Linked DNA regions of Macaca fascicularis. The protein of the gene in region 6 interacts with the protein of the main gene of each other region in a pairwise test. Links are inferred from orthologs where the notes say so. Each region holds a gene or a part of one and is shown on either strand. Other genes may lie near its edges.

What was found.
Region 1: the proteins of EXOSC8 (region 6) and DUSP23 interact in binary tests that used the Homo sapiens proteins (3 or more experiments, as listed by UniProt). The two-hybrid records come from large-scale screens. The link is inferred for Macaca fascicularis from reciprocal best matches to the Homo sapiens genes EXOSC8 and DUSP23.
Region 2: the proteins of EXOSC8 (region 6) and SLAIN1 interact in binary tests that used the Homo sapiens proteins (3 or more experiments, as listed by UniProt). The link is inferred for Macaca fascicularis from reciprocal best matches to the Homo sapiens genes EXOSC8 and SLAIN1.
Region 3: the proteins of EXOSC8 (region 6) and OTUD4 interact in binary tests that used the Homo sapiens proteins (3 or more experiments, as listed by UniProt). The two-hybrid records come from large-scale screens. The link is inferred for Macaca fascicularis from reciprocal best matches to the Homo sapiens genes EXOSC8 and OTUD4.
Region 4: the proteins of EXOSC8 (region 6) and TXNDC17 interact in binary tests that used the Homo sapiens proteins (3 or more experiments, as listed by UniProt). The two-hybrid records come from large-scale screens. The link is inferred for Macaca fascicularis from reciprocal best matches to the Homo sapiens genes EXOSC8 and TXNDC17.
Region 5: the proteins of EXOSC8 (region 6) and POLDIP3 interact in a two-hybrid assay, tested with the Homo sapiens proteins (2 studies listed by BioGRID). The link is inferred for Macaca fascicularis from reciprocal best matches to the Homo sapiens genes EXOSC8 and POLDIP3.
Region 7: the proteins of EXOSC8 (region 6) and EXOSC10 interact in binary tests that used the Homo sapiens proteins (3 or more experiments, as listed by UniProt). The link is inferred for Macaca fascicularis from reciprocal best matches to the Homo sapiens genes EXOSC8 and EXOSC10.

Annotation. Positions count from the first base shown.
Region 1 is NC_088375.1:101,284,521-101,287,913, forward strand, and holds DUSP23 (dual specificity protein phosphatase 23), read right to left. Parts: upstream 2,139-3,393; 5' UTR 2,091-2,138; intron 1,986-2,090; 5' UTR 1,984-1,985; coding exon 1,717-1,983; intron 905-1,716; coding exon 719-904; 3' UTR 516-718; downstream 1-515. UniProt on the Homo sapiens protein: Protein phosphatase that mediates dephosphorylation of proteins phosphorylated on Tyr and Ser/Thr residues. In vitro, it can dephosphorylate p44-ERK1 (MAPK3) but not p54 SAPK-beta (MAPK10) in vitro. Able to enhance activation of JNK and p38 (MAPK14).
Region 2 is NC_088391.1:68,708,029-68,712,162, forward strand, and holds the start of SLAIN1 (SLAIN motif-containing protein 1), read left to right. Parts: upstream 1-1,322; 5' UTR 1,323-1,549; coding exon 1,550-2,184; intron 2,185-2,549; exon of another isoform or gene 2,550-2,574; coding exon of another isoform or gene 2,575-2,708; intron 2,709-4,134. UniProt on the Homo sapiens protein: Microtubule plus-end tracking protein that might be involved in the regulation of cytoplasmic microtubule dynamics, microtubule organization and microtubule elongation.
Region 3 is NC_088379.1:150,079,090-150,083,171, forward strand, and holds the start of OTUD4 (OTU domain-containing protein 4), read right to left. Parts: upstream 2,816-4,082; 5' UTR 2,198-2,815; coding exon 2,039-2,197; intron 1-2,038.
Region 4 is NC_088390.1:6,683,031-6,687,347, reverse strand, and holds the start of TXNDC17 (thioredoxin domain-containing protein 17), read right to left. Parts: upstream 2,822-4,317; 5' UTR 2,783-2,821; coding exon 2,638-2,782; intron 2,113-2,637; coding exon 2,031-2,112; intron 1,623-2,030; coding exon 1,547-1,622; intron 915-1,546; coding exon 846-914; 3' UTR 1-845. Other genes in the region: uncharacterized protein, read left to right, coding at 3,537-4,317. UniProt on the Homo sapiens protein: Disulfide reductase. May participate in various redox reactions through the reversible oxidation of its active center dithiol to a disulfide and catalyze dithiol-disulfide exchange reactions. Modulates TNF-alpha signaling and NF-kappa-B activation.
Region 5 is NC_088384.1:8,974,612-8,978,893, reverse strand, and holds the start of POLDIP3 (polymerase delta-interacting protein 3), read right to left. Parts: upstream 2,824-4,282; 5' UTR 2,724-2,823; coding exon 2,665-2,723; intron 1-2,664. UniProt on the Homo sapiens protein: Is involved in regulation of translation. Is preferentially associated with CBC-bound spliced mRNA-protein complexes during the pioneer round of mRNA translation. Contributes to enhanced translational efficiency of spliced over nonspliced mRNAs.
Region 6 is NC_088391.1:16,553,987-16,557,147, reverse strand, and holds the end of EXOSC8 (exosome complex component RRP43), read right to left. Parts: intron 3,153-3,161; coding exon 3,056-3,152; intron 1,894-3,055; coding exon 1,773-1,893; intron 1,181-1,772; coding exon 1,074-1,180; intron 726-1,073; coding exon 610-725; 3' UTR 512-609; downstream 1-511. Other genes in the region: SUPT20H (transcription factor SPT20 homolog), read left to right, coding at 109-246. UniProt on the Homo sapiens protein: Non-catalytic component of the RNA exosome complex which has 3'->5' exoribonuclease activity and participates in a multitude of cellular RNA processing and degradation events.
Region 7 is NC_088375.1:223,710,562-223,714,084, reverse strand, and holds part of EXOSC10 (exosome complex component 10), read right to left. Parts: intron 1,371-3,523; coding exon 1,266-1,370; intron 959-1,265; coding exon 793-958; intron 469-792; coding exon 354-468; intron 1-353. UniProt on the Homo sapiens protein: Catalytic component of the RNA exosome complex which has 3'->5' exoribonuclease activity and participates in a multitude of cellular RNA processing and degradation events.

The DNA.
Region 1 (3,393 bases), on a different chromosome or scaffold from region 6:
AGCAGAATAGGCCAGACAGCCCAGATGAGCTGAGCAGCACCTGAGGTTGGTAAGAGATGCCCAGCCCTGAGGAGGTAGAGACGGTGGTTATCTGTGAGTGTGACATCCAGGCTGTCTCTACCCCCAGAGAAACAAGGGTGACACGTGTGCAGCAGGTGGGCCTACACGGAGGGGCCTCCTGGCCTGTGAGCATCAGAGACCTGGCAATGCCAGGAGGCCAGGCTACTCTGGACCTGAATCCTTTTTATTGACTAGCTCCCCCAGAAAACACATCGAATATTGTCAGGGAACAGATACATAGTATTTCAGCATCTTCAAGGGATTGAAGACGTGTGTTGCTGTTTTGGCCCATCCTTCCACTTTCTAGAAGTGTGATGATGGGCCTCTCTGAGCTTTGGCCACCTCATCCAAAGAAGAGACATGGCCCATCTGCCTTTCCTGTATCACAGGGCTACAGTGAGGCTGAAATTAGTTGATGTGTGGGAATGCTTTATAAAGTACCATGCAACGTGCCCTGGTTTGTACAACTCATTTATTCAACAAAAAAGTACAAGCCTCCCCTTCAATCAAGACCTGCCTGCAGGGGCGGGCTACTTCAGTGTCTTGAGCCACTGGGAGCTAGAGGGTTTAATACTTTAGTCCACTTCCCTTCATCTCTGACCCCATCGACAACATGGGGCAGGGGAGTGAGGGCCCGGTAGAAGGGTACTGAGGCCCCTTATTTCGTTCGCTGGTAGAACTGGAAGACTGCTTTCTCCTGCTCATAGGTCTCGATGGAGCCGGGTCGCAGTCGTCGGATTTCAGCAATGGCATCTCCTGCAGCCAAGCCCCGCTCCTTTACCAGGTAACAGGCCAGCATGGTGCCAGTGCGGCCAAAGCCCAGGGCACAGTGCACTCCCACAGCCTATGAAGAGGGAGCTCGATGGGTGCCGCCCAACTCCCCCAGCCCCAACTGTCTCCTGTCCCTCACTTGGTTCTCCCCACAGCTCCTTCTCCTGTGCCAGGTCCAGGGCTCTGCAGCAAAGTCAGGGAGGGCTGTCCCTGCACTGGGTGGCTAGGAGGCCTCTGCAGTGGCTGGTTCAAGAGTTGCCCGCCTCCGCACAGCCCGCCACCTGTGGTGTTCAATACAGAAACCACTCGCCACGGCTACTGTGGCTACTGTGTACTTGAAATGTGGCTAGTCCAAATTGAGATGTAGTGTGAAAAACGCAACAGGGTATGAAGAGGTAGTGGAAAAAAGAATGAAAATATCTCATTAAGATCACCAAAATTAATTTTATCGCTTCTTTGCTTTTTAAGAATGCGGTTGCTAGAAAAATTAACATTACATGGAGCCACTTACGTTCCGTTATATTTGGGCAGCTTTACTCTAAAAAAAAAATGGTAAACAGCCTCCACCTGACTTCAACCCCCTACCTCTCTCAGGTGTCTGTCCACACCCTTCTCTTTCTCAACTCACAGTATTAGCTGGTTTTCACCGCCTCTCCTCAAGCCCAGTTCGCACTGCTTCGCCCTCTCTTTAGTTCCTTCCGTTTAGCGCCTCCCTCTCCCGCACTGGCTTCCCAGTCTCCCGGCCAGTCTCCCGGCCCTACTGTCTGCCCCTAGTACCTCCCCGAGCCCAGTTAAGTTATTCCAGGCCGGGTCTCCCCAGCTCCGCTCGCGTCCCCGGATGACCTTCCAGGCCCCTCCCTCCCTGCGCTGACTCCGCCCTCTGACCTCTCCCCGTGCGTTGGCCTCGTCCACGATCTGCACGAAGCGGTCGATCTGGTCAGGGGCCGGCGGGCAGAAGTCGGGGATGCGCAGACGGTGCAGGGTGAGGCCGGGGCAGCTGTCGCTGTGAGGGGGCCCGCGCTCTGTCAGGGACACCAGGTGCCGCACGCCCAGGTCCAACAGGAACTGGTAGTGGGCGGGGAGCCGCGGCAGCGCCAGCCCCGCCAGCCGGCCCGGGAGCACCCAGGAGAAGTTGGGGGGCTGCACGCCCATCGCTGGGAGAGGGCACAGAACAGCGGGTCATGGGGGGCGAGGCTGGCCAGCCCCGCTCCGCCCACCCGTCTCCTCGCCCGCTCCGAGCTGGGTAACCCACCGCCTACCTGGCCTCGGCGCCTCCCGGGCCACGTGGTTTGCGGGGCGCCCTCCTCGGGGACGCTCTACCCTGCCGCGGGGATTGGCCCAGACCCTGGGGCGGGGCTGGAACGCGGAACCCAGGCTCTGAGCGACCGAGGGAAGCGCCGCGATACCGCCCCGCCCGAGCAGGTCACGCGGTGATTGGCTGGCTCATCATAATGGGCGGGGTTACTTCCGCGTGGTTCAACCCACTCAGCTAAGAAGGAAGACCTGGAGCGAGTTAGGAATTGTTTGCTGCGGAAGGGGCAACCCGGGGTCGGGCTCTGCTGCGCCCTGGCGGCGTGTTGCAGTCATTGCGTCACTAGCGCCTGCCCCTGGCTCCCCGCGGGCCGGCCTAGTTCCACCTCCTTCATGCTGGATGCCCTGGGGTTTAAGAGATGACAAATCGGCTTTCTCCCAGGACGAGGAGTCTGCTCTCTAATGACTGACTGGTAGTTATCAGCGACTTTTTGAACTGTTCCAGTGAGAGGGAATTACTGCTGCGCAGGAGGCTATTCTCATTTTTTCATTGCTGGAACTATTAAAAACTTACCTAGGGTAATAATTATAGTAATAATAACCAGCACCAACAGTCAACCCCCACTTCTGTCAATCCGGTTGCTCCTCAGGCCTTATTGAGCATTTATTATGCGCCAGATAGTCTTCTAAGCACTTAACACATACTCATTTAATCGCCACAGTTATAAGGTAGGTGATCTAATGAATCCCATTTTATGGATGAAAAAACAGAGGCACTGGAGAGGTTAATAAACTTGACCAAAGGATGATGACTAATGCCTCCAAAATCTTTAATAACACCGCCATTTCCTAAAGTTAAATGGAACATTGTTTTCTCTTCACATAACCCCCTCATGTCCCCAAATATTATCTGGGTTAAACGCTTGTGGGTTTTCTTAATTTTTATTAGTATTTCATATTTCTTCATTTTTCAAGGCTAGTTCTCTGGGTCACTGTCCCCTGAGCAGGCTAGAGTTGATTAGTGTTGTTCTTACAAGGTGGGGGGTCCTAGATCTGAACACCGTTTCCGCTGTCATCTGACCAGTCCATATCCTCATTTGAGTAATGTGCTTGTAGTGATGCAGACTAACTGTAATTATGAAAATAGTTAACCCTTACTGAATTTGTTTATGTGCCAGGCCCTGTGCCAAGCGCTTTCTGGAAGAACCACATGTGAAAGGCATTTTTGTATCTTTTTTGTACATGAATCATTGGAAGCTTAAAGAAGTTGGTTAACTTGGCCAAGGACACAGTGATCCAAGCCCAGGGCAC
Region 2 (4,134 bases), about 52 Mb from region 6:
CAGAGAAGCTAGAGATGTAGATTAACAATTGAGAAGATACAAGTGTTTCTGAGCAGGAAGACACAAAACCATATCTAAAACCAATAGATACAATGTGTTAGCAGTTCCAGAGAAACGAGGTACATTGTCACAAAGATTGGTATGTAAAGTCCCTAGCAAGGACTTTCACTAGATAGTATATCATCTGAGGATGAGAACCAGTGGTGTAATTTTTCTCATAATATAATCTCAGGTTTTCCTTTGATTGTGTTAAACACTCAAAATGCTAAGTCAGTATTCATTGAACACAACTCGATTAAATTCCTCTGCTTAAAACCTCTTTTAAAAAAGCAGATTTGCTCATGGTTTCCAAGTGGTAAGAAATAGCAGATTTGCAGGTGAGATTAAAGGGTATTGGGTAGAATTCTGAGGTTTTCTGCTTTCCGCTTTTCCCCCAGCAAGACTGCCTTTAATAACTCATACATTATTTAACAGAAGGCGCACTAAACAATTTTACTCATATTTCTCTCCATAACCATTTTTGCCTATTGTACTCACTGCCCGCATCACGAGCTCTTAGAATGGTTCCTGGCACAGAGTAGGTGCTCAAAGATCTTTTGTTTGGAGAATGCGTGAATATACATAACATGAAAAAAAAAGCAGTTCTTCTTTTATTGTGGCAAACAATGGTGGTAACAGTTCAAATTTGACTATTTTAGAATAAACACTTAAGTAAACACTTGTCTCCTTAGCAGCTGGCCACTCTACCTCTTAGAGAGAGGGCTTTCTTCTCTTTCTTCTCGGCCTCCTGTCTCCCACCATTTTGTTTGCCTATTACCCATGAGTACATGAGTGGCATCGTCCCAAAGCCTTTCTGTTCCACCTATCCACTTGTCGATTTTCAGAATAAGGATCCCCAGCCTTTAAGTTTTCTATAGGATTCGTTAGTCAGTGAGTATTAAATGCTGTCATGGAGCCTAACAGAGAGCTGGGAAGGAAGCAAACCAGCGGGCCCTAGGTGCACTCCTCAAGGGCCAGCACCTGCAGCTGCTTTTTTGGGAACCCCCTGGCCCCCGCACCTGGCTCAGAGACCCGCGCAGTTCGCTGTCCCAGCAGCTGCAGGAGGTGCCTGTGGCGGGAAAGTTCAGGCCAGGTCCAATCAGGCACCTGAGATTAGGTAGCAAGGGTGGGTGCGGCTCCCTGGCCCCCACCAGGGCTGCCGGCCCCGCCCCCTGGGTGGGCTTCCCCACGGTTCTCCGCCCCCCCCCGCCCCGCCCCCTCGGCGCTCTCGCCCCGCCCCGCCCCGGGGCCGCGGCTAAAACCCGGAGCCGCCGCGACGCCCAGGGGACTGGAGGGACGCACTGAGCATGTGCAGATCAGCTTGGTGGTGGCTGCTGCGGCCGGAGGCGAGGGCCCGGTGCTGATGCGAACCGCCGGCTCGGCCTCAGCCCGCGCGTGGTCGGCCCCCCAGGTTGGGGTGGCAGGGAAGGAGCCGTAGCCTCCCTGTGGCCCGAGGAGCCGGCGCGCCGGCGCGTACTCCCCGGCGGCCGCGGCGCCCTCGGGGCCCAAGATGATGGCGGAGCAGGTGAAATGCGCCTCGGCGGGGGTCAGCTCTGGAGCGGGCTCCGGGCCGGTGGTGAACGCGGAGCTGGAGGTGAAGAAGCTGCAGGAGCTGGTGCGCAAGCTGGAGAAGCAGAACGAGCAGCTGCGGAGTCGAGCGGCCAGCGCGGCCGCCGCCCCGCACCTGCTGCTGCTGCCGCCGCCGCCGCCCGCCGCGCCGCCCCCCGCCGGGGCCTGCAGCCCGTTGGGTCCTCGGAGCCCCCCGGCCGCCACGGTCACAGCCGCGGCCTCAGGGGGCCTGGGGCTCGGGCTGGCTCTGGGCGCGGGGGGCGGTGGCGGTGGCGGCAGCAGCAGTGGCAGCGGCGGTGGCTCCAGTCCCGCGTTCCCGGGCACCTTCTGCCTGCCTAGCCCCGCGCCCTCCCTGCTTTGCAGCCTGGCGCAGCCACCCGAGGCGCCCTTCGTCTACTTCAAGCCGGCAGCGGGCTTCTTCGGCGCGGGCGGTGGCGGGCCGGAGCCGGGGGGCGCGGGGACGCCGCAGGGGGGAGCTGCAGCGCCGCCCTCGCCGGCCCCCACGCTGCTGGACGAGGTGGAACTGCTGGATCTGGAGAGCATAGCCGCCTGGCGGGACGAGGACGACTACACCTGGTACTGCCTGGCTCCGCTCCCTCCCCGAGACCCTGGCCTCGGGGGCTGCGGGCACCGGGGAGCGGGGGCGGGGGCGGACGGGGGGTCCCCTGCGGCTGCCGGCGTGACTCCCCGCCGCTCCTGGAGGGGCCGATCCAGCAGGTGTCGAGCCAGGCGGTGACATTTCCCACGATGAGGCTTCTCACGAAGGCAGAAACCTGTTTTCTAATCGCTCCGACTGCGGATGAACCCCCCCCCCCACCCCGCCTCCCGCCCCCGATCTTGGGTTCTGCTGTTTGCTGATTGTTGGGTCCCAAGCTCCTGGTTAGCATTAAGTGCAAAATCCATGACATCTGGTCCTTTTGCTCCGTGCTGCTCTTTTCCTCAGTGTTTTCGGAGGGATGACGGGGGATGGTAGGGGTTGGTCTCTGTCTGCGACTGTTACTGTTCTTTCGTTTTAAACGAACGATGGACAGGATTTGCGTGCTCTTCCTCCTCGGGTGGCATCGGAAGCCGCGCAGTGATGGATCTCTCTTTACAGAGAGGTTCGTTCTTACTGTTTGAATTTTGCAGTCGTGTGCCCTTTTGCGCTGCATTTTCATTGAAATCTTATTTTCAGAGACTGACTTGTTTTTTAAAATGGGGTGACCTCACTGGCTTTCCCATAAATAGTGCCAATAAAGAGGACTTTTCTTGGAGTGGAATGAACAGGTGGGAGGGGCTTTTTTTTTTTTTAAACCTAGGCACCAAGGAACTGTCTTTAAGTTTTAAAATTAAACTGTAGAAGAAAAGTGAGATTAGAGAAGCCTTATTTTCTTATTTCTTGGAAACTTTTTAGCTTGGTTATCAGAAAACTTGAGGCTGACAGCATTTATTCAGTTGACATCTGGTTAGCACTGTCTACTTTTCATGAATGGGTAACTTTAGGGGGAGGCATCCAATTCCTTTATGATGTATGTTTCTTGCTGCTTGCTCATGGGGTAATAGTCATTTCACGACTCACTTCTTTTGGTTGGTTCCCATTTTCTGTGGTCACCAGATATATAGGATATGTTTCAGATAAGATGGAACTTGGGTTCCTGCAAGGAAAATGAGCAGCATTCACCTCTACATTGCAGAGGCATGAAGAATAGTTTTAGTCCTTCTTTACCTGAGGTCCTTTTTATGTAGGACCCTTTCTGTTTTTGCAAGCTGGGTTTTCATTACTTTCTTTGTGTCTCTGTTGCGTGATTGCATGGAAGGGATTGGGAAATGGAGATCCTTACTGGTTTCCTATTGGGAAGCTTGCCTTACACTCTACCATGTGAGAGCTCTAACTGTAAAGTGCATTAGTTAATTGGTTTGATTCAAGAATCAAAATATATGGAGCTGTAGTAAGCCTTTCAGAGGCGTATTCATCATCCACCTTAACACTTTTTGGCAGCTGTGCAGGTAGCTCAAGGTGTAAAAAAACCAAACAACTCATCACTTTCTGGAACTTTAAGCCATTCTTTCAAAGATGCACCCTTATTTCCATAAAGCCTGGGGTATATTACAATCTCAATTTCAACCTGAATGTGGTACTAGAAAATGCTCTCATGATGGTCCTTAGATTTCACTAATAACTCTCAGCCCTTATGCCACTTTCAAATTATTTTAGGTTGATTTAGTCCTTATTTAGCCTTTTTCTTATGGTATGTATGTAAACAGTGGAAGGAAACTTGTTTCTATTTTTGATGGGGAGCTATATGGGATCAGTTTTATGCTTAAAATATTTGCATTTTAAAATTTATTATGATATTGCTTGTTTATTAGATTAGTAATCTATTAATAACTTTTCTTCTTTTGAATGGATTTCTGTCATATGTAGTTAGCATCCTTCTATTGCTAGTATTTTGGTACCTAGGCTTTTTTTTAATAGTTTAATTTTGTCCGAATAGCATTGAAATAACCAACTTTAACAGAAATCACCTTCTTAGTGGTATTAGTATA
Region 3 (4,082 bases), on a different chromosome or scaffold from region 6:
TCAAGTCTCCTCCCCTCTTTAAAAACTGCCACTTAGATTATTTACTCTGATTCCTTCTTAGAAATGATGAATATTTGTGATTTTATAGGAGAAATTGTTGGCAAAAATATAAATCCTTGGTACTTATTTTAAAAGGGAAGCCTGACGTTGGTATTACTTCCTCTTTCCCACACACACACACTTTGCCTTTGGCGATGATGGCTATACCTGTAGTCTACTGAACTTCTCCCAAAGTTCAAGGTCTTGAGCTAAGCTCATCAGACTAAAACGGAGTCACATAACTGGGAAGGGTAGTCCCTTATGCCTAACCTAAGCCCCATTACAAAATACAATAAAATGTGTTACCTGATGTAACAAAGAGTTCTTAGTGTAAACTAGCTCTTGCCCCCTTTCCAGTTAAAAACAGAGATCCCACTACAATAACAGAGAGGTTTCTGTATAATCAAGGCCACCAAGTATCTATGGTATGCACTACGGAAATCAGGCACACCTTTCTGCTTCAATATAAACTAGGACTCAGATAACTCAAATCCAAGTAAATTCCAAGCTTCCCTTACCGCCATTTACTTCTACCTCCTCGCTTACCAAACTCTTGCTAGGTCTAACAGTACGTAATAAATATGGGCTGAATTCACTTCCACCTCTTCCCTAGCTTCTGGAGGTGCTGAGGAGTTCAAGGAAGCAAGACAGATACAGACTCAGAAAATTCACAAATGGGGCAGACTATTTACCTACTACTAATAAGGACTGGAGGGAGTGGGTGGGTGTTAACATACCTCACAGCAACATTGAAATAGAGAAAAGTCTAACGGACAGAGCCTGGTTTGGGGAGCTTCTGGAAGAATGTTTCAATGACAATGTCCACAACATAAAGCAACAGTTTGTGTCCGTTAAATCAATTTGTTTTAAAGAAAGATTTTACTCCCTATGGCAAATAAATGGCTTGCCTTTTAATGTTTAAAAACAAGAAAACAGACTGGCCTCCAGATGTTAAGTAAAAGATTTACTCACAAATAGAAATTTTAAAAGTTATTTAGCATTCAAAAGAGGTGAGGGAAAAGAAAACAGAAACATCATAAAAACCCCACAGGGGGGTAGGGAGCGGTGTGCGATGGGGTGTGGGGAGCAGGTCCTAGGTCAAACGAAAGCACATGTGAAAGGTCTGAAAGACACACCAGAGCAGAAACTTTTATCCAGCTACTTCGGCAGCTATTTTTCAATACAGGATGGGTTTTGGTGACAGTACACCTACAACACAGTGTTACATAACATGGAATAAGCTCGCTCAAAAAAAAAAATCAGAAAAATCTTCCTGAGCAACTGTGTTAGAAAGTGGTTTTGAAAAGCTCCAGTTACACGTACCCTTTCTACTACCAACATCAAAACAGGCTTTTTTTTTAAAAAAAAGTCAGTTCTGTTTAGTATACCTACACAGCCCAGCAGACCATAATAAAGGGTGGAACCTACTCAAAGACAAATCCTTCAAAATATTCTGTATTTGTAAAAGGTTGGTTTTCTCAAACGGCATTTTGCCCATTTCATTCAAGTGACATGGGCAAGCTTGCCTACCCCACATTTCAAAGTCCAGCAGCAAACCAAAATATATTCCACAAGTAAAGTTTGATCCACCACTTCTAGTAAACACTTGTTTTACTGGAGTGGGGTGAGCGTGGTGCTTCTTAAACGAAGGGATGGAAGGTGAATGCGGAACAGAAGTGAAAAATATCATGTCGCCAGGTCCCCAGCAATAAATCAACTGTACAAGCTCCGAGCAGGCCTCACAAGTTGTCCTCAATCCATTACCTCTTCATCAGGAGAGAGACACCCCGTTAATTTGCGAGCTTTGAAGTTTCAATTTGCACCTTTCAGACGCAAAGCAGCGTCCCACTCCGGCGTTACAATGGGGCGCTGTGACGACAGCGAGGGCACGCGCAGCCCCGGCCGTGGGCGGCCCGGACAGCCCGCAGCTGCCTCCCCACCCAGACCCGCCGGGCCGTCCCCGCCTCCCCTCGCACCACCCCCCCCCCCCCGCAATTACCTGCTCCGCCACTGCCCGGAACAGGCACGACCCGTCCTTGGCGACCAGTTTCCGATACAAGCCCAGTTTCCGCAGATAGGCGTCCATGGGCGTCGCGTCCTCGCGGGGCCCCGCGCCACCCTGGTCCCCGCCGTCGGGGACGCCGACGGCCGCCTCCATGTTGCTGGTCCTGCTACAGGCCAGGCGCGGCAAGGGCTAGCCCCACATGGCCAGGCCGCCGGCAGCTCGACGCCCCGGCCTGGGGCAGGCGGCGGCTCGGGCTGGGGCTCGGGCTCCGCGAGCGGCGGCAGGCGGCGGCGGCCCGAGGCAGCGTTCCGCGCTCTCCGGGCGCATAGGGGAGCCCTGCCTAATGCATGGCTGTCCGCACGCGGCCGCCTCCTCAGAGCGAACACGCGCCCACAACAAACGGGAGGAGCGGGATTAAGGAAAACCCCGAGAGTGAGCAGTCACTTCCCGACGGCCTCGCTGGCTGACTCAGGACCCAGGCCGGGGGTCGCCGCCCCCACAAGTTTCCTCGTCCGTACCGGTGTGAAGCGAGAAAACCCCCGCCCCTGGCGCGCACGCTGGGCCGGCTCAGGTGAAGCGAGGCCTGCGTCCCCCGCGCACTCCCCACGCCGGGAGCCGAGGAAACCAAAAAAGAAAGACGCGGCCTTTCGTTTCCCCACCTCGCTGGAGGACGCCGGAGGGGCGGGGAGCGGGTGGGGGCGCCCGGGAGAGAACAGCACCTCGCAGCCCAGAATTTGTTTTCGCTTTCGGCCCGACAGCGGAGAGGACGGCGGGAGGTGTAGTCTTGGCAGCCGCAGGAAGTCGGCTTGCGGCAGGCGGGGACGCGCGGGCCGGCCTACCCGGGGGAGGCACCCGGGAGGCGCGCGGACTACAAGTCCCTACAGCGCGGGCGCCGCCGCCACCGCCCCAAGCGGACTTCGCGCTGCTCTGGCGCCGCGTCCGCGAGCAGGCCGAGGGGCTCTGCCAGCCGACGTGGGGCGAGCAGCGCGCGCCGCCCGCCAACCCTGCCGCTGCGCGGCGGGAAACGCGCGCGCTGGGCTGGCGTGGAGTTGCCAGGGACACGGCGGCGCAGTGTCGGCCCTTTGTGTATTTCTTTCCAGAGGGCGCACCTATCTGCTCCCTTCCCCCCGGCCTGCCCTCCTGGCGTTTCCATGGAGGTGGCTTTAACGGCTTAAGCAGAAAATAGAGCTAATTGGCGGAGGCTCCGGGAACTGGCACGGTGCGGGACGACACACTCTGCCCATAAATCAACCGTGGACTGCTGATTCCTATTAGAAATTAGAAGTACAGCTCACGTACTACGGCAAGATGAAGGCTTTGCCAAAGACATTTTTGTTTACCCTGTCGCTGTAGCTGAGCACCCCATCTCAGAGGCATGTCACTGTCGGAAGACGTTAGGGTTTTTTTGTTTTTTTTTTTTTTTTCCTTCTTAAAAAATTCGTCTTGTAATTGCTTGATAACATGCTAACTGGACTGGCCATGGCTTCCACCAGTGCTCGAGGCTTCAGCTCAACCTGCCACCCTCCGATGATGAATGACAGAGAATTGACAAAGTCAAATTATGCTTTAGAACCCAGAATTTATCCAGCATGCTTCTGTTGCACCAGAATTTTTTTTTGCTAAAATACAACATGCGGTGTCCTTATTTAAATACATGGTTAATCATAACACTAATTCAGTCTTTAGGCTATGGTGGAGGAGAGGGAGAAGAAAAGGGAGCCTTACTGTAGGTTTAGACATGTAGTCAAATACGTTGGAATGGGGGCAAGGCAGGCCAGGTGGTGAGGGTCCAACGACATAAGTTTTTTAAAAACTACTTTAGACACTTTTCAGTATTTTCAGTGCAAGCAATCAGTCTCATATTCACTCTCCTAGGAGCGTAATTGATTTCTTAATGTTTATTCTATCTCAAATGATGCTTCTTTTAGAGAATACAAACGTCATGGTTACCCAAATGAAAAAAATGTCCCTGCCTCAAATTTACTTGTTGTAGCAAAGAAACACTTTGAAATCACGTTTAGAAAAATATAGTTTCAGC
Region 4 (4,317 bases), on a different chromosome or scaffold from region 6:
AGTGGTTAATTACTAATTGGACTCTTGACTTTAGAACAAACATGAGGAGCCTCAAATACTTGTGCTCATTTGGGAAAACTAACATTGATTTGGGAGGTACCACATACCAGGTGCTATGTTAAGTGCTTCCTTGAATTCTCATTTTATTCTCAGAACCTTGTTTACAGAAGAGAAAACTGAGGTTTGGATGGGGCGGGTAACTTGCCTGTGGTTACACAGCTAGTAAGTGGTAGAATCAGTGTGACTGACTCCAGCTTGGAGTTCTTCCCACCACTGGGTTACACAGTCTTTCCAGCCCCTCTCCGCCACCTGCCTAATCCCAAGTAAAGCACATTGAGAGAGCCGCAAAACGAACTGCCTCTAGTGCTCAGGATCGGTTTCTTCATGAACAAAACAAAACTGCCTGAATTAAGCAGAGGCTGGATTAGAGGTAATATGCTTCCTTCAGTGGTGAGGTTAGGTTCTACGTTCCAAAATCAAAGAAGGGGTTTCAGGAATATCAGTTGCTTTGCAGATGCAGATAATTTAAAATAAAAGATCCTGATCTTTTGAAAGATTTGGAAGGTGTGCTCTGCGCCTTTAGGAGTTTTTAGGTATTTCCGTCACCTTCAATGATACATTCCTTTGAGCCTTTACTGCTACTTCTGAAGACTTGTTTATATCTTAAAAATATCCATATATTACAGGCAAACTAAAGGTTCATGGGCATTTTAATAGCACTCTACTGTTTAGACACATGCCAGTTTTTTAACCTCATTTATTGCTAACATGTATTCAAAGCAATATACAGTTTATTGATACTAGAACAAATCAGGAAATCAAGACATGATTGCCATCATAAAATCTTAATCTTCAGAGAACAACATTTCCACCAGGTTGGCCTGAAGACACTCAGATTCTACCAGTTTTTGAGGCTGTAAGAGAAGAACAGTCAAATCTTCACTACTCCTATAAAACGTTATTAGGAGTGGAATAGGTTCTGCCTTGAATGACACTAATCTTTGAACACAGAAATTATGCAATTCAGAAACTATCAACTAGTTATAACAAGTTTTATGAAAGAATCAAGATATTTGCTGTAAGATGAATCACTAACATACTTGGCTGAAGAGACTTAAACCCCAAATACCAGGAAGCTCCACAGACTAAAACAGGAAACAGCAAGCCCAGTGCCCTCTTCTTCCCCTCAACTCTTTAATTTAGGATCCCAGGGGCATGACTGAACTAGAAGAGGTGCCCTTACTTTTTAACCAGAATTATGAATTAAATAGAAAACAACTGTTGATGTCAGTGTTTTAAGGAATTATGAGTCAACCTACTTTCTGGCTATAGAATTTTTAAAGAGTGACTTAACATGAAAAAGACCTAATAGCTAGATATTTACATTATTAGTGTATTGGGATTGGCCATAGGAATGGACTTTCAGCAGCACTCTCAACAGCAATGGAATTGAGATGACATGTCAAGATCTTTTCAAATCTGGATCCACAGCAAGTTAAAAGTTTTGACAGTGAATTACAGGCCCAGCATATTTAAAGATACTTACTGTTCCATACTTAAGTAGTGTAGGCACTGCTGTTACTTTCAAGTTTTTTCTGAAGTCATTATTTGGATCTTTCCAACTGTTCCAAAAGAAAAAGTGATCATGAAAAAAATTTACTTGGTTTATTACGGTTTGCCTAATATTTGACATATTCCTACATTTAATTTTTTAGTAATCACTGTTCTTGCAAACACTTAAAAAACCTTGTGGACTATGGCTTAATTTGTTAATTACCCTGTGCAAAGTTTTAAAGTGTGACTAAGATACAAAAGTAAAGCCAGCTAAGTTCTGAGCTTACACCAGACCAAATTCGTTGAATTACCCTTACTTAATTCAGGTGGGCATTTTAAATTTGTATTTAATAGCTTCTAATTGTTGTGAGACATTGCCTTATAACACAGAAACTGGGTGCGTGTCCCTGAGGCCCTTCCCGCCTCAGTTTGCAATCTGTGCATGTCTGTGAAGTAGATTATACGTTGCCACTTACTAAGGCTTTTCTCCTACTTGGCAGTAGATGAACACACATCCTTCACTGATGTGCTTCAGCCCCTCTCGTACGACTGGTTCAGCTTTAAAAAAAGTTGAGATAAAATAATCGCACGTCAACTCCAGAATCAGGCACTGATAAACAGTGTTCTTTTCCCCTTCCCCCAGTCTTGGTAAGTACTCAGACTTTAACCTGCAGCTAACTGAAGCGGTCAGCAGAAGTCAGGTGTTCACTTCTGGTCTTAGAGCCACGTTAAGGGTAAGGACCAAATCCCAGTCCCGATTTGCCCCCGCACCACCGCGCCCATAACAATGGAAAGCACATGTATTTGCTGACCAACTCACGTATCCTGTAAGACTCTAATGGTACTGGGGGAGTGAGAAGTTTTAAGGAACTAGATTCCAAGATCATCCGGGTTAAATGGTAAAAGGAAGAGCGCTCTTGGCAGGACGGGGTAGAATTTAATAGGAGTTGACATGGGGACAGCTTAGATTGTCCCGCGGATGTCTGGAACCAAGACTCTGCCTCTGCTAAGCCCCCTTTCTGGTCGTAGGTTCGGCCTTCCTGCCATTTCCATTGGACAGCAGCCCCCGAATCCCGGCCTCACCCTGCACGCAGTCGGGGCACCAGCTTTTCCCTCCGGCGTCCTTAGAACCCGTAAAGTAGGCGAAAATGGTCTTGCCATTGTGCTCTTCCACGGCCCGGTGGAACTCCTCGAAGCCGGACACGCTCACCTCCTCGTAGCGGGCCATTGGCACGACGTGCAGCAGCTGCTGGAGGAGTGCACGTCTGGCTGCTGCAGGCGGGGCCCACGTGGGCGGGGCGAGGCTGTTTCCGGATGGGCGAGAGGGCGGAGCTTGCGGAAGCCAGCGCCGCTGAAGAGTACGGGAGCCTCTGAGGACCACAATCCATCCGCATGGCTTTCTGCTCTAGTTTCAGATTTTTCTGCGCTCGCTGCACTCCCAAGCCCAGGCATCTACCCTAATCTAGTCCCAGCTCCGACCCCATGGACACTGGCTGCAAAACTTAACGCCTGGCTACACCTGGATCCTTCAGTAGTTCGGCGTCTCAACGGCTCCCAAGCCGCCCTGCGCCTGTTGCTATGGCGACTGGGCGGGCGGCCGGAAGCGCGGCCTAGTTGGGGCCCCCCTTGCCCGCTTCCCGGTAGCGGCGCCTCGCCCCAGCCAGGTGGGCTCGGGATGGGGCTAGGGGGGATTCTGGGAAGCTGCTTTGAGTCATGGACCTGGGGGAGAGGAGATCTGACTCGGAAAGCCTTTGTTGTTTTGTCCCCCCAATTACCTTTTCTGCCGTCTAGGCTTTAGGGGGGCCTGGGACTGGGGGCGGGTTCCTGAGACTGGGCGGGGGTGGGATGGGTGAGGGGCTAGGAGGGAGAAAGGCTGCGAGGCCGGAGCTGAGTGTGTGAGTGCCTGTGTGGAGCAACTTAGGGAGCGAGGTGCTAAGACAACCCGGGGCCGCGGTATCGAGGAAGGGAACTGCTCTGGAGCTATGAGCCGGGCGACTGGCCGTGGGGCCTTGCCCAGGCTGCGCCGGGGAGAGCAGGCGGCTAAGATGCCGGGTCGCTGCGTGGGGCCCAGCAGGTCGGGGCGGGGAGTTCGGCGGCCGTGGGGGAAGAGACGGGGCGCAGGGACGTCCCGGGGCCGTGGTGCAAGGCGCCGGGCGAGGTCCTTGGAGTGGGAGACGCGCTGTGTGAGTGCAGAAAGGGCGCAGGGCTGTCAGCGCCCGCGGGGGACGAGACAAGCGGCGGAGACAGCCGATGCCGCCGGGGCGAATGAGGCTTTGGAAGCTCCTGACCCCCCAGGCTCCATCGAGGCTGCAAGGGACCCTGGGGCTGTGTGGGTGAATGGGGCTGTTGGGGAGCCCGAGGTGGTGGGGCCTGCCGGGGCTGTGTGGGTGACCGGGTCTGGGGAGGAGGAGGCCGAAGATAGGAGTCCCCGGGGCTGCGAGGGAAAAGGTCGCCCGGGATCTCTGGGCCATGAGAGCATTCTGCACCTGTGGCTGAAGGTGCAGGCTATGAGGGCCGCCTCGGGATGTGGGGAAGGAAGTAGAGTCGAGCTCCATCCCGTGCCTGTCGGAGAGGGACCTGTCGAAAGGGGTGTTCCTGGCCGAGCTTCCTGGGTAGAGACAAGCCGTGGTGGTCTTACAGGGCCCTGGGTGAAGGGCCAGGCAAGGGGGATCCCTCGGGCCCCCTCAGGGCCTACAGTTCTGGGCTTAGGGGCTGCTTACGAGAGAACCTTAGGCTTCTGTGGACAGGGACAGGCTGGGAGGA
Region 5 (4,282 bases), on a different chromosome or scaffold from region 6:
AGGGGCACTGTGTGCTTCTATTCCTTTAAGGAAAGGTTCAAGATAATTACCAGCCTTTGCTGAACACTTGCCACATGGCACAAACTTTAAAACATACCTTCTGGCGGGCTGTGGTGGCTCATGCCTGTAATCCCAGGACTTTGGGAGGCCGAGGGGGGTGGATCACCTGAGGTGAGGAGTTCCAGACCAGCCTGGCCAACATGGTGAAACCCCATCTCTACTTAAAATACAAAAATTAGACAGGTGTGGTGTTAGGCACCTGTAATCTCAGCTACTTGGGAGGCTGAGGCAGCAGAATCGCTTAAACCTGGAAGGCAGAGGTTGCAGTGTGCCAAGGCTGTGCCACTGCACTCCAACCTGGACAATACAGTGAGACTCCATCTCAAAACAAAAACAAAAAAAACCCGGCCGGGTGCAGAGGCTCAAGCCTGTAATCCCAGCACTTTGGGAGGCCGAGACGGTCGGATCACGAGGTCAGCAGATCAGGACCATCCTGGCTAACACCGTGAAACCCCGTCTCTACTAGAAAACACAAAAAATTAGACGGGCGAGGTGGCGGGCGCCTGTAGTCCCAGTTATTGGGGAGGCTGAGGCAGGAGAATGGCGTAAACCCGGGAGGCGGAGCTTGCAGTGAGCTGAGATCCGGCCACTGCACTCCAGCCCAGGCGACAGAGCGAGACTCCGTCTCAAACAAAAAACCAAAAAAACCAAAAAAAACCTCTCTCACATTTAATTCCTTCAACCAGGAATCACCATTACAAATGAGGAAACTGCCTAGTTTAGAAGTCCCCTGGCCAGGGAAACAGAACCCAACTGTTTCACGTGCCAGGTATATCCAACTGCAAGGCCCCTGTTCCTGTGGATCCACACATACCCCTCACCCCATTCCTGCAGCCCCACCTACTGCCCAACACAAAACTCTGCACACACTAAAGCCAAAACCGTACAGATCAAATAGACTACAGTGCGGTCCACCTGTAGTCAGAAACTGGGGGAGTGACCTCAGAGAGAGAAGAACCTGGTGTCGATCATTCTGTCGTTTCCAAAGGAACCTACAAAACCTGGATGGATTTAGAAGTGGCCAGAGGAGCCAGCGCCAACTTCACATCAGACACTAGGCGGAGATGTGAGAAAGCTTTCGCAGTCAGTAGCTGAGGAAACAAATCCTAATGCATGCCCGTTATGAACCAGAAGCCCGGTAAGTGCTGGCTGCGAATTACCAGGTGGTGGTGGCAGTTGTAGTTGATACAAGTGTCCAGATGGGGAAGGAGGTGAGGGATACATTTCAGACATCAAGAGAAAAACCTAGCCACAGGCACACGGGTGATATGAATAAACATCCGCTGAATGGCCGGGCCTGTGGCTCACGCCTGTAATCCCAGCACTTTAGGAGGCCGAGGCGGGTAGATCACATGAGGTCAGGAGTTCGAAACCAGCATGACCAACATAGTGAAACCTCCGTCTCTACTAAAAATACAAAAATTAGCCAGGCGTGGTGGTGTACACCTGTAGTCCCAGTTACTCGGGAGGCTGAGGCAGGAGAATCGCTGGAACCGGGGAGGCGGAGGTTGCAGTGAGCCGAGACCGCACCACTGCACTCCAGCCTGGGCGACGGAGCAACACTCCGTCTCAAAAAATAAATAAAAATAAACATCTGCTGAGAAAACATATGTCTGAGAAAACAGTATCTAACATATTTACATCCTGGCTATTTACAAAGACACTTAAACTTAATGCGTGTTGGGAAACTATTGGGCAAAGTTCTCACTTCTTCATACAGGTGAACTCAGCTCACAAAGACTTGAAATGACTAATAACATTTAACGGTCATGGGGAAGTTTGGGAGACATGACTGCAAATCACCTCCATGGCTCCTCACCCAGCTCAAGCACTTTCTTCTCCCTAAGGAAATAACCAATCTCCAGCCCAGCCCACTTGTTTTTCAAGCCCATGCAGGAGGCCAACTCAGCCAGCAATTAAATCGCACTCAGCCCCGCCGCTCAGTTCTCCGTGGTCTCGGGCAAGTCACTCTACCACTCCCAGCCTCAAGTTCCCCATCAGTAAAAGTGGAGTAACACGAATTGCTAGCAGACAACAGGCCCGTGAAAGATCAAACGAGGCATCGTTTATACGAACAGGCTTAGAAAACTTAAGACGCCGCACAAAGGGAGGCGAGTGTTAACAGAGGCCGCGTGGACCGGGGTTTGGGCTTGCGCCTCAGCTTCGGCCGTCGGAGCAAGTCACTTCCCTGCTGCTAAACTTCGGTTGCCTCAACTATAAGATAGGTGGAGACCAAGCAGCCCCGAGATCACGGAGCGGGGCCCAAATGCCAGTCCAGACAGGCCAGGGGGCTGCACCGCCGAGACTCCCGGACCCCGGAACGCGGGGGCCCTAGGGTGCAGCCCCTCAGGTCCACGAGGCGGCACCCTGTCCCGCCGCGGCCCCGTCGGCCTCCCAGGCCCGCCGGAGGGACTGCACCTCGGCCAGTGGGCGGGCGGTCGGGGCCGCTGCGGCGACGGCGGCGGCCCGGCCAATGAGGAGCGCGGCTGCTGTTGGGGGCGGGCGCACCCGGTCCTCCGCGTCGCGCCCGGGCCGCTCCCTCCCCCGCCTCGAGCTCCACTATGCCGCGGACCCGAAACCCCGAAGAAAAGAAAGGTCTCTCACCGTCCTTTCGCCACCGCCCCGCGCTTCCTGATGAGTTCGTCCAGGGAGATGTCCGCCATCTTGCTCCGCCGAGCGAGCCGAAAGCAGCCGAGACACCCCCAGCCCGCGAGCCCGCCCCTTCGGCCGCTACAGAGCGACGAACTACTTCCGACGTCCGCCGACCAACTCTCGCGACAGCCAGCTAAACGCAAGCAAGAACCGGAAGGGGCGGGGACGCTCCCCGTGAGCCTTCGCGGAGCTGGCTGCTCATCTGCATACAGAAGGTCGGCACATTATGAATTATTTATTCTCTCCGACGAAAAAACATTAAATGAAAAGCAACAAAATAATTTCATTAACGAGTAAGACAAACTTCAATGGAAGTGGATCATTACCTCAACGGTCAACTATGATACTCATCATACGCCAAATGAGAATATGATTCATTACCTAGGAAATAAGCGGTACTGTTTCTTTATGCCTTAAACTTATGAGTAAGGAAAATAACGATTCGGGGTGACGCCCGAATCCTCACTGCTAATGTGAGACGAATTTTTGAGCGGGTAAAGGTCGCCCCTAAGGTGACCCGCCTACTTTGCGGGATGCCTGGGAGTTGCGATCTGCCCGAACCCTTTACATCTGAAAAGTAGACTGGGCGCGGGGTGGCACAATTTCTATTTCTTTCCGGCACACGGTGGGTGCGTTCTCATTCCTGTTTTCTTCTCCCGCCAACGCCGCCAGTTCCTAGGGAGTCTAGTCACCGGCTGAGGACGCTCTGCACTTCATCGCTGTCTCCAACTGCGCATTGAGTCAGTCCAAGGTTGCCCACAATATTGACGTTGTGACCCACGAAACTGGCAATTTCCATACATGCGGACTTAACCCAGTTCTCCCAAACTTCCCTGTATAACCGCTTCTCTGTGCTTCAGAAAGATATGTCCGTCCCCGGCCTCACACAGCAGCTCAGTTAATGACAGCGTGTCTTCACTTTGCGACCTTATAATGTAGTGCTCTTGGGGGTGAGAGCCGGACGACTGCCTGGCTCGCGTCCCGGTGGCGGCGTGACCGGTGGCGGCGTGACCGTCACGAGCAAAGCACTTCATCTCTCTGCCTCTGTCTTCCTAATATGTATTATGGAGCAAATAATTTATAGGGCGTTGGGAGAGTTAAAGAGACTAATTCATTTAAGTGTTAAATACAGGGAATGACTTTTGCATTGATACAACCCCAGCCTCCAGCATGCGCCAGGCATGAGGTAGGTGTTCGGCACATATTTGTCCAATCACTCTAAAAATACACTCCATGCCCTTAGAACAGATGGGGTTAAGTCCTCTTGGCCATCAGGCATCAGGAGCTCCGTACAGAAACTGGGTAAGAGGCCAGTGACGGTGGCTCACGCCTGTAATCCCAGCACTTTGGGAGGCCGAAGCGGGTGGATCACCTGAGGTCAGGAGGTTGAGACCAGCCTGGCCAACACGGAGAAACTCCGTCTCTACTGAAATTAAAAAAATAAAAAATAAAAAATAAAAAAGCCAGGTGTGGTGGCACAGCCTGAAATCCCACCTACTCAGGAGACTAAGGCAGAAGAATCACTGGAACTCGGGAGGCGGAGGTTGCAGTGAGCCGACATCGCGCCATT
Region 6 (3,161 bases):
GTGCTTTCTCCCTTTTTCAGTTGTGTTGTTTCGTCACTCTCAGGAAAAGCACCTTTCCACACCTGCCTGCATTTAACATAACTCGATTTTTTTCCCTCCCTTTTGCAGCAGTTGCGATTCTTGCAGCATCAAATGGCTATGGCAGCAGCAGCAGCACAAACAGCTCAGCTACATCGTCATCGGCATACAGGCAGCCAGTCAAAAAGTAAAATGAAGAGAGGCACGCCAACCAGTCCAAAATTCTGAGTCTTGCATTATTTTTTGTTCCTTTTTTAAAAACACAAGAGCATTGAATCAAAAGGATTGAGTTTCTACTTTTTGTTTTTTTAATGTGTCAGTCTTTTACATTGCTAGATGTACAAACTTTATACAGAAGCACAACCTTATCATTTTTAAATAAAAACAGGGAAATGGTTTAACAAACTAGGGTTGGTTTGCCTAAGTCATTGCTTTTTAAAAATGGTTTCACTATACATTATATGGAAGTGACCTAAGAAATAATAGAAACATCTTTCAGAAGAATGTAGTTTGATATTTATTTAGTATAAAATGTTTGTGCACAGTGTTAACAAATACAATTTTTACAAATCTGTTTTGAAAAGTGGCTATTTATTTGGGTTTCATACTCTTAATTACTTCATCCATCAATTTTTTAACTTCTTTGTGTCTTGTAACTGCTCGGCTCATGCAGTCCTGAAGTTTAGCTCCAGTTAGCCCGCTTCCACCTGAAAAATTATTTTGCCAATACTTTAAATCTATCACTGCTTTTCAAAAAACATTAATGTCATATCAAATTATGAAATAAAAAAATTGGATAACATAAATCAGGGTACAGTCTCAAGATCTGCAAGTTAGTTTCACAAGACCTCCAAGTGATTCTAATGTATGTCTTAAGTTTAAGAATCACTGACGTATACCATTAAGATGGAAGAAAATTTGAGGTAGCTAAGAAACTACAGTAAACTTAAATTAGGTAAATGAAATATCCCATATTCCATTTGGCCCTCCCTAATTTAAGGCTCACACTGAGTTTTCATCTACATATGTTTAGGACTGAAGTGGCAGGAACATGCCTGGTTTGTGAAGACAACAGAGCTTGCCTTCCTCATCCATTACTATTGTTAAGGTTCCTGTTGCCAGATGTTCCTCCTCTCCAGTAGGGTCAACTATAAGCAAAGTGCTATAAAAAGAAAAAAGTATAAGTTATCAATCCATGGAACAAATTTTACTTTAAAAATACTAAACATACTGTCAGCCTCCCAAGTAGCTGGAATTACAGGTACACACCATCACACCTAGCTAATTTTTGTATTTTTAGTAGAGACAGGGTTTCACCGACTTGGCCAGGCTGGTCTCGAACTCCTGACCTCAGGTGATACCCTGCCTCAGCCTCCCAAAGTGCTGGCATTACAGGCATGACCCACCATGCCTCGCCCTGCTCTACTATTTCTGAATGTGCTAAAATCCTTGGAAAATACTGAAGATAGCTTCAGGTAAATCTTTAGTGAAAGAATTAGAAATTAACATTACACAGGTATAAGTAAACCAAGGAACAGGTAAAGTGAACACAATTATCATCCAAATCAGGATGCTTATGAAAGCAGACAGGTTGACTATAAATAATTGTGCAGGGACAAGTATAAACTCAAGTGTCCAGGGAAAACTAGGATGTAGAGTCAGACTCATAGCACTTCCTGAAGAGTTAGAATGCTGAACATCAATTACCCAAATCTTAAATATAGAAAATTTTAAAGTAAGTTTGATTAACTTACTCATCAAACACAGCAAAGGAAGTTGCAACTGGATGAGTTCTAATATTCAAATAACTTTTCTTCTTTAAATTAACTTCTGCTAAAGCAGTTTCTTCATTTATAGTAACTTCAGGCAACTGTACTAAGAAAAGGCAAATTTGTAAAGTAAGTCTCTAAGAAACAAATGGTTTCTAAGCTTTTTTTTTTTTTTTTTAATTCACCTTTCCCTCGATTGAACTTGCCCAGAACATTTCTTTTTAAAAAGCACCTTACAGCCACTAAGGTAAATACAGAGGATATACATTGCTCTTCACAACATCTGACATGCCTACCTAGTGCTTATTGCATAATTTTTTTAAGTTTAAGAAGTCAAAATGATTTTTTTTTAAATTTTTAGAGATCGGGTCTTGTTTTGTTGCCCAGGCTAGAACTAAATTCCTAGCAATCTTCCCACCTCAACCTCCCCAGTAGCTGGGTGGGACTATAGGCATGTGCCACTGTACCCAGTTTTGAAATGAAAATGATTACTAATAGATAACATGTCTAGCTAATTTGTATATGCCAGGTACTGTTTTACGCATTTCCACATTTTCACTGTATTCACCTAATCAATACTCTTAGAAACTAAATACTATTATCCCTATTTTATTATAGATAAGGAAACTTCAGCACAGAGTGACAGAGCCAGGAATCAAACCTAAGTCTCTGCTTTAACCACTCTGTTACAATATTGTGCTAACTTCATTTTCTACCTCCAATTCACTTAACCACTCTATTATAATATTGCTGTGCTAACTTTATTTTCCACCTCCAATTATTTGTTCCTACCAATTCATCATTCACCAATGATAGGGAATATGCACAAGTTATTGAAATCTGTAACTAATCAGTCAACCTAGACTCCTTGCTAAGAAACTTCACTATTACTATGGCCTCACAGTAAAAAGAACAGAATCCATTCTAATTCTTTTGGCAATATCACATAAAGAACTATGAGGATACTGGCAGATCTTCACCAATGACCTAGCCAGAAGTTACAAGTCTTGTCTCCCTCTCCCACCATTATTAACACTATTATGGAAAGGACTGAAGTCCTAACCTAAGTAGACGGGTACAGTCAAAGCAGCACTCTAAAGAGCATTCAGTTAGAGAATATACAACTATCAACTATATTTGGAAAGTAATGGCAGTATTACATTCATTAATTTGGAAGCATACGAAAGCAAATGTACATTAAAAGTTTCACAAAACAGAACATTCTAACCCATTAGTGGGAATATTGTCGTTTTTGTAAGGCTGCTTACCATTTTTTAAAGCCGCTAACAAAGCAAATGTGCAGGCATCCAAAATGTTTCCATCATAGTCGAGGCAAATGAGATCACAGTATAGAACCCAGGCAAGCTAAAATAG
Region 7 (3,523 bases), on a different chromosome or scaffold from region 6:
CTAGGCTGGTCCTGAACCCCTGACCTCAGGTGATCCACCGGTCTCAGCCTCCCAAAGTGCTGGGATTACAGGTGTGAGCTACCGCACCCAGCCCTTGCGTTTTACGTCTATAAAATGGGAATGAGAATCACTGCTACTTCTCAGGACTGCAGTGAGGTTTATGAGGCAATGCTGTGCAGGCCCTTTGTGAACACAAACAGCAGGTTTTATTGCTAAGGCCCAGGTTGGGGTAAGGAGGAAATCACTGCTCCTCAGATTGTTTTCATGTATATCTCCACAAAAGTGAAACTGTGAAAATGTGGCATAAAGGTAAGTACTCACAGCAGAAAGGTCAGACATAGGCAAACACTTACATGTCTTGCTCAACCTGCTGGGTTCTCTGCTGATGGATGAAATCAGCCAGTGCAGGGGGGACGTCCAAGTCCTCAGGACGATCCTGTGGGCGTTCCCGCCTTTCCTTAGAGAGAGCTGGAGACCCAAGCAGTGACAAAAACATCATAAGCACATTCGTGTCTTTTCTAGTTACACAGGGGTAAACTGACTCCCTTTGTGTTCTGTTTTTTTTGAGACAGGGTCATGTTCCTTCCCCCAGGCTGAAGTGTGGTGGCACAGTCACAGCTCACTGTAGCCTTGACCTCCTGGGCTCAAGTGATCCTCCCACTTCAGCCTCTGGAATAGCTGAACTGGGCTCCCTTTGAAGAAAGGAGGGTGGCAGAGAGACCTGTACACCCTTCCTGGTTTTTGCATCAAATAAAGTAAGACTCAAACACAGGCAAAGTATGCACTATTTACCTTGAGGGAGAGGTTTCTGAGCATTGGGTTTGATGAAGATTTTAGGAAGAAATGGTGTGTTGGAATTGTCAATCTTCTCTCGAAACTTGAGCTGAGGTCGGATGATATTTTTTGCATGAAGCAGCCGGAAAGTTTCAGATTTTGCTTTTTTGCCATATTCTGCTGCCTATGATCAACGCATACAAATACTTTATAACACAGCAACTTGATGAATTAGAAAAGTAAATTCCAATTTATGACTTCCAAGGAGACAAGAACATCGCAAGGGCCATTCACTTAAGAATGTACGTGCATGTAGAGGTCTCCAGAAAGTGGAGAAGAGGGTATAATTAGGTTGTGTGTGTTTATGAGAACAAACTAAAGAAGGCAGTGGCCAGTTCTCTAATAAATTAGAACAGAAATGCATGTCAGAATGAGCAAAATCCCTATTATGAAGCTGACATCAAGAGCCAGTTAATCTGAAAAGCCCTCACCTTACGGTTCCAGCTGGACACTACCGTTTTGGGGACCTGCAAGCCGGCAGGGAGGACAGGCTGCTGATTCTTGTTTACACCTGAGGCTTCATCCAGTAAAATACCCTAAAAGTAGAAGCGGTACTAGTAAAGCATTTTTCCTTTTGAGGTAGAGTTAATTACCTAACATTTTATTGATTTAACACGGAGTATCACTCTGTCACCCAGGCTGGAGTGCAGCGGCATGATCTCGGCTCACTGCAACTCTTTACAGTTCTGAATAAGGCTCACTGCAACCTCTGCCTCCCAGGTTCAAGCGATTCTCCTGTCTCAGCCTCCCGAGTAGCTGGGATTATAGGTGTGCACCACCACACCTGGCTAATTTTTGTATTTTTAGTAGAGATGGGGTTTCACCCGGTTGGCCAGCCTGGTCTTGAAATCCTGACCTCAAGTGATCCACCTGCCTCAGCCTCCCAAAGTGCTGGGATTATAGGTGTGAGCCACCGCACCCAGCCTAATTCCCTAACATTTTAAAGAGATGTATCCAGAGACATTTGTGTAAGAAAATATATATATATAAGAATAGATCAATGTATCTATCAAAATATCATGTCGTATGTGATAAATATATAGCTGGTCCCCAATGTAAGACAGTTTGACTTATAATTTTTTGAGTTCACAATGGTGTGAAAGTGATTTGCATTTAGTAGAAACCACATTTCAAGTACACTTACAACCTGTTTTTCTTTTTCTTTTTTTTTTTGGAGACAGAGTGTCTTGCTCTGTTGTCAGGCTTGAGTGCAGTGGTGTGATCTCGGCTTATTGCAGCCTGACTCCTGGGTTCAAGCAATTCTCCTGCCTCAGCCTCCCAAGTAGTTGGGACTACAGGCACGCACCACCATGCCCAGCTAATTTTTGTATTTTTGTATTTTTTTTTTTTTGAGACGGAGTCTAGCTCTGTTGCCCAGGCTGGAGTGCAGTGGCCGGATCTCAGCTCACTGCAAGCCCCGCCTCCCAGGTTCACGCCATTCTCCTGCCTCAGCCTCCCGAGTAGCTGGGAGTACAGGCGCCCGCCACCTCGCCCGGCTAATTTTTTTTGTATTTTAGTAGAGACGGGGTTTCACCGTGTTAGCCAGGATGGTCTCGATCTCCTGAACTCGTGATCCGCCCGTCTCGGCCTCCCAAAGTGCTGGGATTACAGGCTTGAGCCACCGCGCCCGGCCAATTTTTGTATTTTTAATAGAGATGGAGTTTTACTATGTTGGCCAGGATGGTCTCGATCTCTTGACCTTGTGATCTGCCCGCCTCGGCCTCCCAAAATGCTGGGATTACAGGCATAAGCCACTGTGCCTGGCCCTGTTTTTCCTTTATTTTGAGATGGAGTCTCACTCTGTTGCCCTGGCTAGAGTGCAGTGGTCCAGTCTCAGCTCGCTGCAGCCTTCGCCTCATGGGTTCAAGCAATTCTCGTGCCTCAGCCTCCCGAGTATCTGGGACTACAGGCGCACACCACCACGCCCAGCTAATTTTTGTACTTTTTTTGTAGAGATGGGGTTTCACTATGTTGACCAGACTGGTCTTGAACTCCTGACCTCAAGTGATTCACCTCCCCTGGCTTCCCAAAGTGCTGGGATTACAGGCATAAGCTACTGTGCCCGGCCACAACCTGTTTTTCACTTTCAGAAGTATATTCAATGCTACTTGAATTATATGAGATATTCAACGCTGTAGTATAAAAATAGGCTTTGTGTAAGATTTTGCCCAACTGTAGACTAACGGAAGTTTTCTGAGCACATTTAAAGCAGGCTCAGTTGCGCTATTTGGTAAGTGAGGTGTATTAAATGCATTTTTGACTTATAATACAGGTTTATTGAGACACAACCAATTGTAAATCAAGGAGCACCTATACAAGTTTTGACAATTTAAAAAAATAAAAATTTTACAGAGTTAATCAATAAAGGTGATTAGTATGTCATGCCAAGTAATTAATGCATTATTTGTTCAAAGGCAGGTAGGACAGTAACTACCCATGCCCAATACTCGATTGACTCTTTACAGCTCTGAATTGGACTGAAAATTCTAATATGATTTAACAGTGTAATGTGGCCACTAAAATAACTAAGAAGTCCCTGGACTGCCTACATTAAATACAGAAGTATACTGTTTAGAACGAGACTGCAGGGAGTCCTAATCTATTTTGCACTTTAAAGCAGACGTGAAATATCAGCTTGGGCACTACTAACAGAGGCACACGCAGGTGATATATAGGAGTATGGCAAGAC